Linked DNA regions of Drosophila melanogaster. Changing the gene in region 2 together with the main gene of any one other region gives a genetic interaction. Each region holds a gene or a part of one and is shown on either strand. Other genes may lie near its edges. The genes, in order: Exo84 and Sec6.

Evidence for each region.
Region 1: of Sec6 (region 2) and Exo84, changing one enhances a phenotype caused by changing the other (phenotypic enhancement), as found in Drosophila melanogaster (one study listed by BioGRID).

Annotation. Positions count from the first base shown.
Region 1 is NT_033777.3:26,049,852-26,053,773, forward strand, and holds the start of Exo84 (exocyst 84), read right to left. Parts: upstream 2,407-3,922; 5' UTR 2,379-2,406; coding exon 2,339-2,378; intron 2,279-2,338; coding exon 2,120-2,278; intron 2,067-2,119; coding exon 1,736-2,066; intron 1,682-1,735; coding exon 909-1,681; intron 850-908; coding exon 320-849; intron 265-319; coding exon 79-264; 3' UTR 1-78. Other genes in the region: Vps2 (vacuolar protein sorting 2), read left to right, coding at 3,066-3,378, 3,439-3,896.
Region 2 is NT_033778.4:18,623,279-18,627,200, reverse strand, and holds the start of Sec6 (secretory 6), read right to left. Parts: upstream 1,953-3,922; 5' UTR 1,859-1,952; coding exon 887-1,858; intron 822-886; coding exon 1-821. Other genes in the region: Atg7 (Autophagy-related 7), read left to right, coding at 2,242-2,438, 2,495-3,016, 3,074-3,286, 3,418-3,562, 3,624-3,922. UniProt on the Drosophila melanogaster protein: Component of the exocyst complex involved in the docking of exocytic vesicles with fusion sites on the plasma membrane.

The DNA.
Region 1 (3,922 bases), on a different chromosome or scaffold from region 2:
ATTATATTATAAATAATTGAAGCAAAACGAAAAAATAAAAAATTATATGTAATCGAAAGTAAATCCCACGGCGTGCATCTAAAACACATCTGTGGTGTAGACGCTGCGCTGGCGCGGCACTGGAGCACCTTGCTGGCGGGACATTTTCGTGTGCAACTCGCGCAATCCCTCGCACTGGCGTCCAGAAATCTGTCGAAACTTGTCGATGGCGATGGGCAGCAGGTTGTCCACCAGAAAAATCTTGTTCTTCATTACAAAGTTGGGCTGAAAATGGCATTCTTGAAGAGAGCGGTTTTATTTAAGCTGCTTTCTAACTTACATCCACGGCCATGTCGCTGGGCGGTTTCAACGAATGCTGGGCAATGAACAGCTCCTTAAGAAGCAGTTCCAGGCTCTGCAGCAGGGTTTCGCACTTGGCCAGACAGCCGCAGTACTCGGTGAGCTGCAGGAAGTGTCTGATGAAAACCACTGTCGACTGGGTGAGATTAATCCATGTGTCGCCCGTCGCCTGGGCTCGCACATCGATACCCAAGACATCGAGCTCCAGGAGCAGACGCTTCAGGTTCGACTTGGTCTGCAAATTGTACGGCTGCCAGCTCTCCTCGGTGCGACCCACGGAGTCCAGCAGTCGCTCCTTGGATTCCTCTATGAGCGACTCGAGTGTAGTGCGCAACAGACCTTCCAAATGATAACTAATGTCCAGCCCGATCTCTGTGAGCTTTGTCGAGGGCTTGCGCACTCGCTCCACACATTTGGCCACTGACTCCAGGGAGGTTCCCTTGGTCAGGTAATGCTTTATCAGTTGGCTGGCAAAATATTGCAGCTCCGCATTGCACCAAACCACGAGCGCTGCAAGAATTAGATAGTAGTAATACTTAAATGTAGACAGAAATAGGAATGAAGCTTACCGCTAACGCACGCCGGTTGCTTCTCAAAGGCGGTGAGAAAATCACAGGCCACCTGCGTCAGGTCACAAAAGAAGAGTTCCGATATATCCGCATTATTCCTGCGCGCCTCCCGTTGCGCCACCCGCAAACTGACGGCGCAGACCTTCAGCAGAGTGGCACTCGCCTGCCGATAGCGACCCATCTCTACGAGAATCTTCAGAGGCCGCTTGGCTGCTCTCAGAGCGATCTGCAGATTGCGATTGTGACTGTTGGACAACTCCTTGAGCAGCACATTGATCAGCTTCAGCTCCTGCTGCTTCACCTTGGTTTCAATGGCGTCCGCTAGTGGCAACTTCTTTCGGTTCTCGTTTCGCAAGAAGTCCTGGGTTCGCTTTATCAGCTCCTGGGCATCCTCGAAATGCCGTTGGGCCACCAGGGTCTGAATCTCTTCACTGGCCGTGCTTAGCCACTCGGGCGTCTCATCCTCCAGGGATTTGGGCTGTCCGGGACTCTGGGGTGTGGTTTCCTTCTCCGGAGTCGAAGCTTTTGACTGCTGTTTGGCCCGAGTTGGAGGCTGTGGCGCCTGGCCCTTTTTTGGTTTCTTTTGCTGGTCAAAGCGGAAGGCCTCTTCGAGCTTCTCTATCCACTCCGTCTTCCCAGCAGCCGTGATGCTTTGATAGATCTTGGAACCATCTGGAGTAATGATATTAATGGCATTCTTAACGCCATCCAAGTCCTTAATGTTAATCACGGCTATTTTCTTGGGGTCGTACTCGGTGAGGAAATCCAAGCGCCTGAAAAATATTACTATTAGTTTTTGCTATATGCTTTAGTATAGGAAAACCTACTTATCATGCTTCACTTTGCAGACAATCAGTACATCGTTGAAGAGGAAAAAGAAGACCCTTTGAATGGGTCGATAATCATTACTGTCCAACTCGATTAGAGCTCCCTCGTTGAGGAAGGTCTTGCCTTCCAGATTGCCATTGAAGCCCTGGACCATTTCCTTGACCGCCCGCGTGGCATGGCTATTCTCCAGATCCTCCGTCGCCGTAGTGCTCTCCGCCTCCAAACTCTCTGCCTTCAGGTGACTGGAAGTCTTGCCATCCGTCATGGTGGCCAGAATATTGCGCTGCTCAATCAGAATGTGCGACAGTTGATACATTTCCGACTCGAGATCTGCGATGCGAAAATATTAACATAAATGTATATTGATATTGGGGGGCGTAAACTACGTGATATCTCCTTGGCCGTCTGTATAAACTCCATATAGTTCTTTTTGCATGTTTGCTTGAGCGTTGCTGCCGTCGTTTCGTTGTAGGCCTCGATTTCCTTTTTTCGCTGCTGCAAATCGCTGCCACCCACACATTCTCGTGTCAGGTCCTTGGTATCTGGGAACGTTGTACTTATTAGTAGACTGATTAATGCTAAATAGACATAGGAATACTTACATTTCTCAACGCTAAAATTAAAATCGTCGAACTCCTTCATGATTCTGATTGGAATGTAAACTGCAGCTGACGCAGAGCCATTCACAACGAACGAGCGTCATCATGAGGTGTCGATTGTAAGGTTGCTGATGCTATAGAAAATGCCATGTTTTCACTGCAGTTTTCCCTGGTATTAGATAAATCTATAAATCTAGAACATTTTTATTTAGTTTTAAGTAATAGGAGATTAATTAAGATTTAAAACCTATGAAAAGTTTTATTCGAACTGAACGGCTACGTCAAAGACCTTTTAGAGATCAACAAATTTATTCGCATTTACATTTCGGATTTTCATCTTAGGTATGATTAGGCGTTGAAGCCCTGAATACTTTTTATTCGAACTGAACTTTTAAATATAAACGACTACGTCAAAGATCTACGTTAAAAATCAAGAAGACATATGTCTATATGTATACTATTCATTACAATGTGTGTGTGTTGTATTGTAATAAATTAAAATTATTTTCCACCTGTTGCTAATTCACTAAGTTGAAGTGTGAACAGTTCTTTCAGAGTGCACCGGCAAAGCTTCTTCTTCCCACTAGCACTATTCGCATGTAAGCGCCAACACGTCTTGGCCACCTTAGAATCGCGCACACCCTTCGCTTATTGTTTTGGTTGATGAGTAATCTTTAGGAAACTCCGTCATTCTTCGTAATTAAATCTTGCAGTTAAGATATCCTTAAACATGGACTGGCTATTCGGCAAGAAGATCAGCCCCGATGAGATGCTGCGTAAGAATCAGCGGGCGCTCAACAAAGCGATGCGAGATCTGGACCGCGAGCGGATGAAAATGGAGCAGCAGGAGAAGAAGATTATCGCGGATATCAAGAAGATGGCCAAGGAGGGTCAAATGGATGCCGTGAAGATCATGGCCAAGGATCTGGTGCGCACGCGGCGGTATGCCAAGAAGTTCATGCTGATGAAGGCAAACATCCAGGCGGTGTCCCTCAAAATTCAGACGCTCAAGTCGCAGAACACAATGGCACAGGCCATGAAAGGTAAACATTGGCTATTTGGCTGATTCACCCGCTTATCAAGCAATTATGCTTATCTTCCAGGTGTCACGAAGGCCATGCAGAACATGAACCGCCAGCTGAATCTCCCGCAAATCCAGAAGATCCTGCAGGACTTCGAGAAACAGTCGGAAATGATGGACATGAAGGAGGAGATGATCAACGATGCCATCGATGACGCCATGGAGGACGAGGGCGACGAGGAGGAGACGGATGCTGTTGTGTCCCAGGTGCTGGACGAACTGGGTCTGCAATTGGGCGAACAGCTGGGAGACCTTCCTTCCGCCTCCGGTTCCCTTTCCATAGCCGGCGGCGCTGGCGCTCAGAAAGCACAGGCTGTGGCCGCTGGTGGCGTTGGCGGCGGTGGAGCCGCCGGCGGAGGTGGAGCTAGTGGTGGCGGCGCTGGTGGTCCGGGAGCTCCCGGTGGCAGTGGTGCCTCATCGCCCATGTCCGATGCCGATGCGGATCTTCAGGCGCGCCTGGATAAGCTGCGCAAGGATTGAGCCGCTACTAAGAACCACTGCCTGTC
Region 2 (3,922 bases):
TGGGCCTCGTTGATGACCATCTCGAAGTTATTGGGTCGCAGGTGATTATAGTCCTGGAAGTAATCGTCCAGCGTTACACAAATGGTGTCCACGGCAATGTTACTGGCCAGCCACTTGGCAGTGAATAGGTCGTTAAAGTGACACTCCATGTCCAGGAAGGCTTCCTCCAGCAAGTAACTTGCGGCATGAGCCCGGATCCGCTGGAATGTGGCAAGCAAACGTTCGAAATCCTCATAATGCTCAGTACGTGACTTGGGCCAGTAGAGTTGTTTCATCTGCTGCGCCAGTTCAACCATTTGCTGACTGTTATTCACGATGGTGATGATGTAGTGAGTGAAGTATTTGATCTGGTCCCGATTGCGAAAATGGTGTTCCTTCAGCTCGATTACGTTCTTAAGATATGTCTGGCCAAAGATCTCCACCTGCTGAATGCTCATTACCAACGCCTTGAACGTCAGTTCCTGATGAATTGTGTTGGTCACCTGCAGATGCTGGTCGATCATCTGGAATATGATGACAGGCGCTGAAGTGTGGTAGTACTCCTCATCCTGATCGGGCACCGTCTCAGTAAACCACTCCTGCTTCTCCGTTTCTGCGGCCTTGGTCATCCATTCCTGGAAGTTTCTCTGCATATTTTGCAGATATTCATCTTCCAGCGCTTTGAGATGTTCCGGACGCAGCAGAGTACCTATCTGTCGGTGTACATCCACATTAAGATCCGGATGGGACATCAGCTCGACGCCAGGATAGGTGTGTGTAACCCAAGCCATCATTGATACATATTCATTGCCCTCCAAGCCCGAGCGCACAATGTTGTCAAGCTGGAATTAGTAAATATTAGTGGTATAAAAACATTAATCAATTTAAATGATTGACGATTACTCACATAGCTAGAAAGTCCTTCGTGATAGAACTTGACATATTCGCCGAAAATGTCGTAGTGCGGCGGGAAGCAGGGCACACAAAGGGACTTCACAACGCGCAGATCCTCGAGAATGATTTGACGCAATATCTCCAGGTCTCGTACTAACCACATCTTGTTATCGGCCCGCTCCTCTAGCTTGGATCCCTCTATGCGCGTTATCACCGACTGTTGTAGCACGTCCATGATCATGCGGCGCCAAGCCTTTGGTCTTCCAGGCGGCAGGAATCCTGTGACCTTTTGCTGCTGCAACGCGAACTGGTCGTTTTTCTCTTCCCGCTCTATGATGCGTAGGGCGGTAACGATGATGGTGGGCTTCTTGCGCAGAGTGTTCAGCGTGCGGCTAAGAATGAGTCGCAGCTTTTTCTCCAGCTCTTGGGATACCGTGTCAACCTTCTCGAAGTGACGCTTTAGGGTGATCTTGTCGGACGCATGCTGCTTGGGCTGCTTGTGCAGTTCGTAGAGAAGATCATCCCGCGAATTCTCCAGATCCGCCAGGCACTGATGGGCATTAAGCAGCTTATCATCCTCGATCAGCGCCATCGTCTTTTGTACGCTGGCATCTACGTTGAAGATGTGCTTCAGATTCTCCATGGCGGTGGCGTACTGGGAGTGCTTTGTGTTTTCCTCCCGCACAACTTCCAAAGCGTCGTAGACTTCGGGAACGCCCCTCAGCAGGCGCTCCACCTCGTCCATTCGACGCCTTACCTCGCGCACGTCCTGCATGCAGGTCTCCAACTGCTTAAGTCCCACCCTGACCCCGTCCAGCTGTCCTTGCATTCCGGTCTTAAGGAGCGCCTCAACGGATGCCTTCTTCCGGGCGATTCGGTGGCGATATTGTTCCACCTTCTCCAGTTGACCTGGTCGCTGCAACATGTTCTGTATGTCCTTGAGCGCTGCCTGGCGAGCCTGCTCCTCCAGCTGCTGTAAATCCATCTTCAATTTATTTGGATCACTTTCAGTCTCTGTTTTGGTCAATCTTCGTCAGCAGTGGAAGTGCTGGTGTGACCATATAGCAGTGCGGCTGACAATCTCACTTCCAAGAACTACAGTGTAACTTGACAATAAGCTATATTCTACTCTTAAAATTATTATAGTTTTATTGTGTCTTAAAATTTTTATTTTATTCTTCAAGCTTAAAAAATTATGAAGTTAAAGTATATCTTTTAGTTTGCCAAAGCAACAGAGGATTCGACCTAAGTATGGAAAACTGTACTTATCGATAAGTTATCTTCTCATTGGTCTATCGCCATCGAGAGCTTTGTTTGTTTATAATTTGCAGCCAAACGTTTGAACGTAAACAACGCCCTAAGCAAAACATGAGCACGGAAAAAGAGATAATTTTGCAATTTGCTCCGTGGGAATCTTTTGTGTCGCCCACTTTCTGGCACAAGCTAGCGGAGCTTAAGCTCGACCACGATCGCCTGTCCGACTCGAAACGCTCCATTACTGGACACTACACAAATCGTAATGCAAGTGGATGCCTTTTGGAAGTAGACTACACGGCCTACAACAGGTGAGCTTGAAAACTACGAGTTTGATGAAACCAGCGCTTGACCACCCACATTCCAGAATGGCAAAGCCTCCAAAATTCAGCCATTCCGCTATAGGCACCATCTACAATAAGAACACAATCGAAGAGTTCAAGGCCCTGGACAAATTACAACTGCTGGCCGATGAGGGCAAGGAACTGCTGGCTGATATGTGCAGTGGTGGCGCCTTGAGAGATCCCAGTCTATTGACCCGGTTCTTTGTTCTCTCCTTTGCCGATTTAAAGTGTCACAGCTACTACTATTGGTTCGCCTTTCCGTGCCCGCTGACGCCCACCTTAAAGCTTCAGGGAGCCGTCCAAAAACTGCGGGACTTGCCCAATAGTAGTAGCTATATAATGGCTCTAAAGGCCTTACCCACTGAGTCACAGAACTTCTTCATTCTGTATGCTAATGTGGAGAAGAACATTTTCGAAGCCCGTAGTTTAAGTTCCCTTGACGATAAAAATGTTGAGTTCTGTTATTTTGGTTTTGCTGATCCCAGCGAGTATGAGCATCCAGCTTGGATAATGCGAAACTATGCTGCCTTTCTGCTTCAGCAATGGTAGGTAGGAATAGCAATGTTATGATATCAGTTCACACAGTTGTCGGTCTATTACAGTCCCTCTTTTGTTGGAAAACCATTGAAGTTTCTTGGCCTGCGACACAATCAACAAATGAACATCGATGACAGCCTTGTATGGAAGGTGATTCAGACTGAAGCTTGCGATCTTAGCCAAAGCGAAAATATAAAGTTCGTGGGCTGGGAGCTAAATAAAAATGGCAAAATGGGGCCAAGAATGGTGTGCATGAGGGACAGCATGGATCCAGCCAAGTAAGTTAATAGCTATAGACTTAAATGATAAGAACTATCAGTTCATTGAGGTGTGTCCTTAGTGTTAGCTACCACGACAGTTGAAAGTAACTTGTTTATTATTTATAATTTAACAATATTTCTTTCCGTAGACTCGCTGAGAACTCTGTAAACCTGAACCTGAAACTAATGAAGTGGCGCCTTGTTCCCGATCTCAATCTCGAAATCATCTCCCAAACAAAATGCCTGCTCTTTGGAGCTGGTACTTTAGGATGCGCTGTAGCTAGAAATCTGCTGGTGTGCTTTTATACGAAATGATTTAACTGATCTGATAACTAATAGTTTATTTATTTTGTAGTCCTGGGGATTTAAGCACATAACCCTTTTGGACAGCGGCAAGGTTGGGTTCTCTAATCCAGTGCGTCAGAATCTCTACACGCATGCAGATGCTGTGGCAGGCAATCGGATGAAGGCGACTACAGCTGCTCAGAGATTGAAAGAGATCAATCCGTCTGCGGAAACGGCGGGTTATGTGCTGGAGATTCCCATGCCTGGGCATACTATTGGAGAATCGCTTCTAGCCCAGACGAAGGAGCATTTGAAGGTTATCGAAAAGCTTGTGCAGGACCATGATGTCATCTTTCTGCTCACAGATTC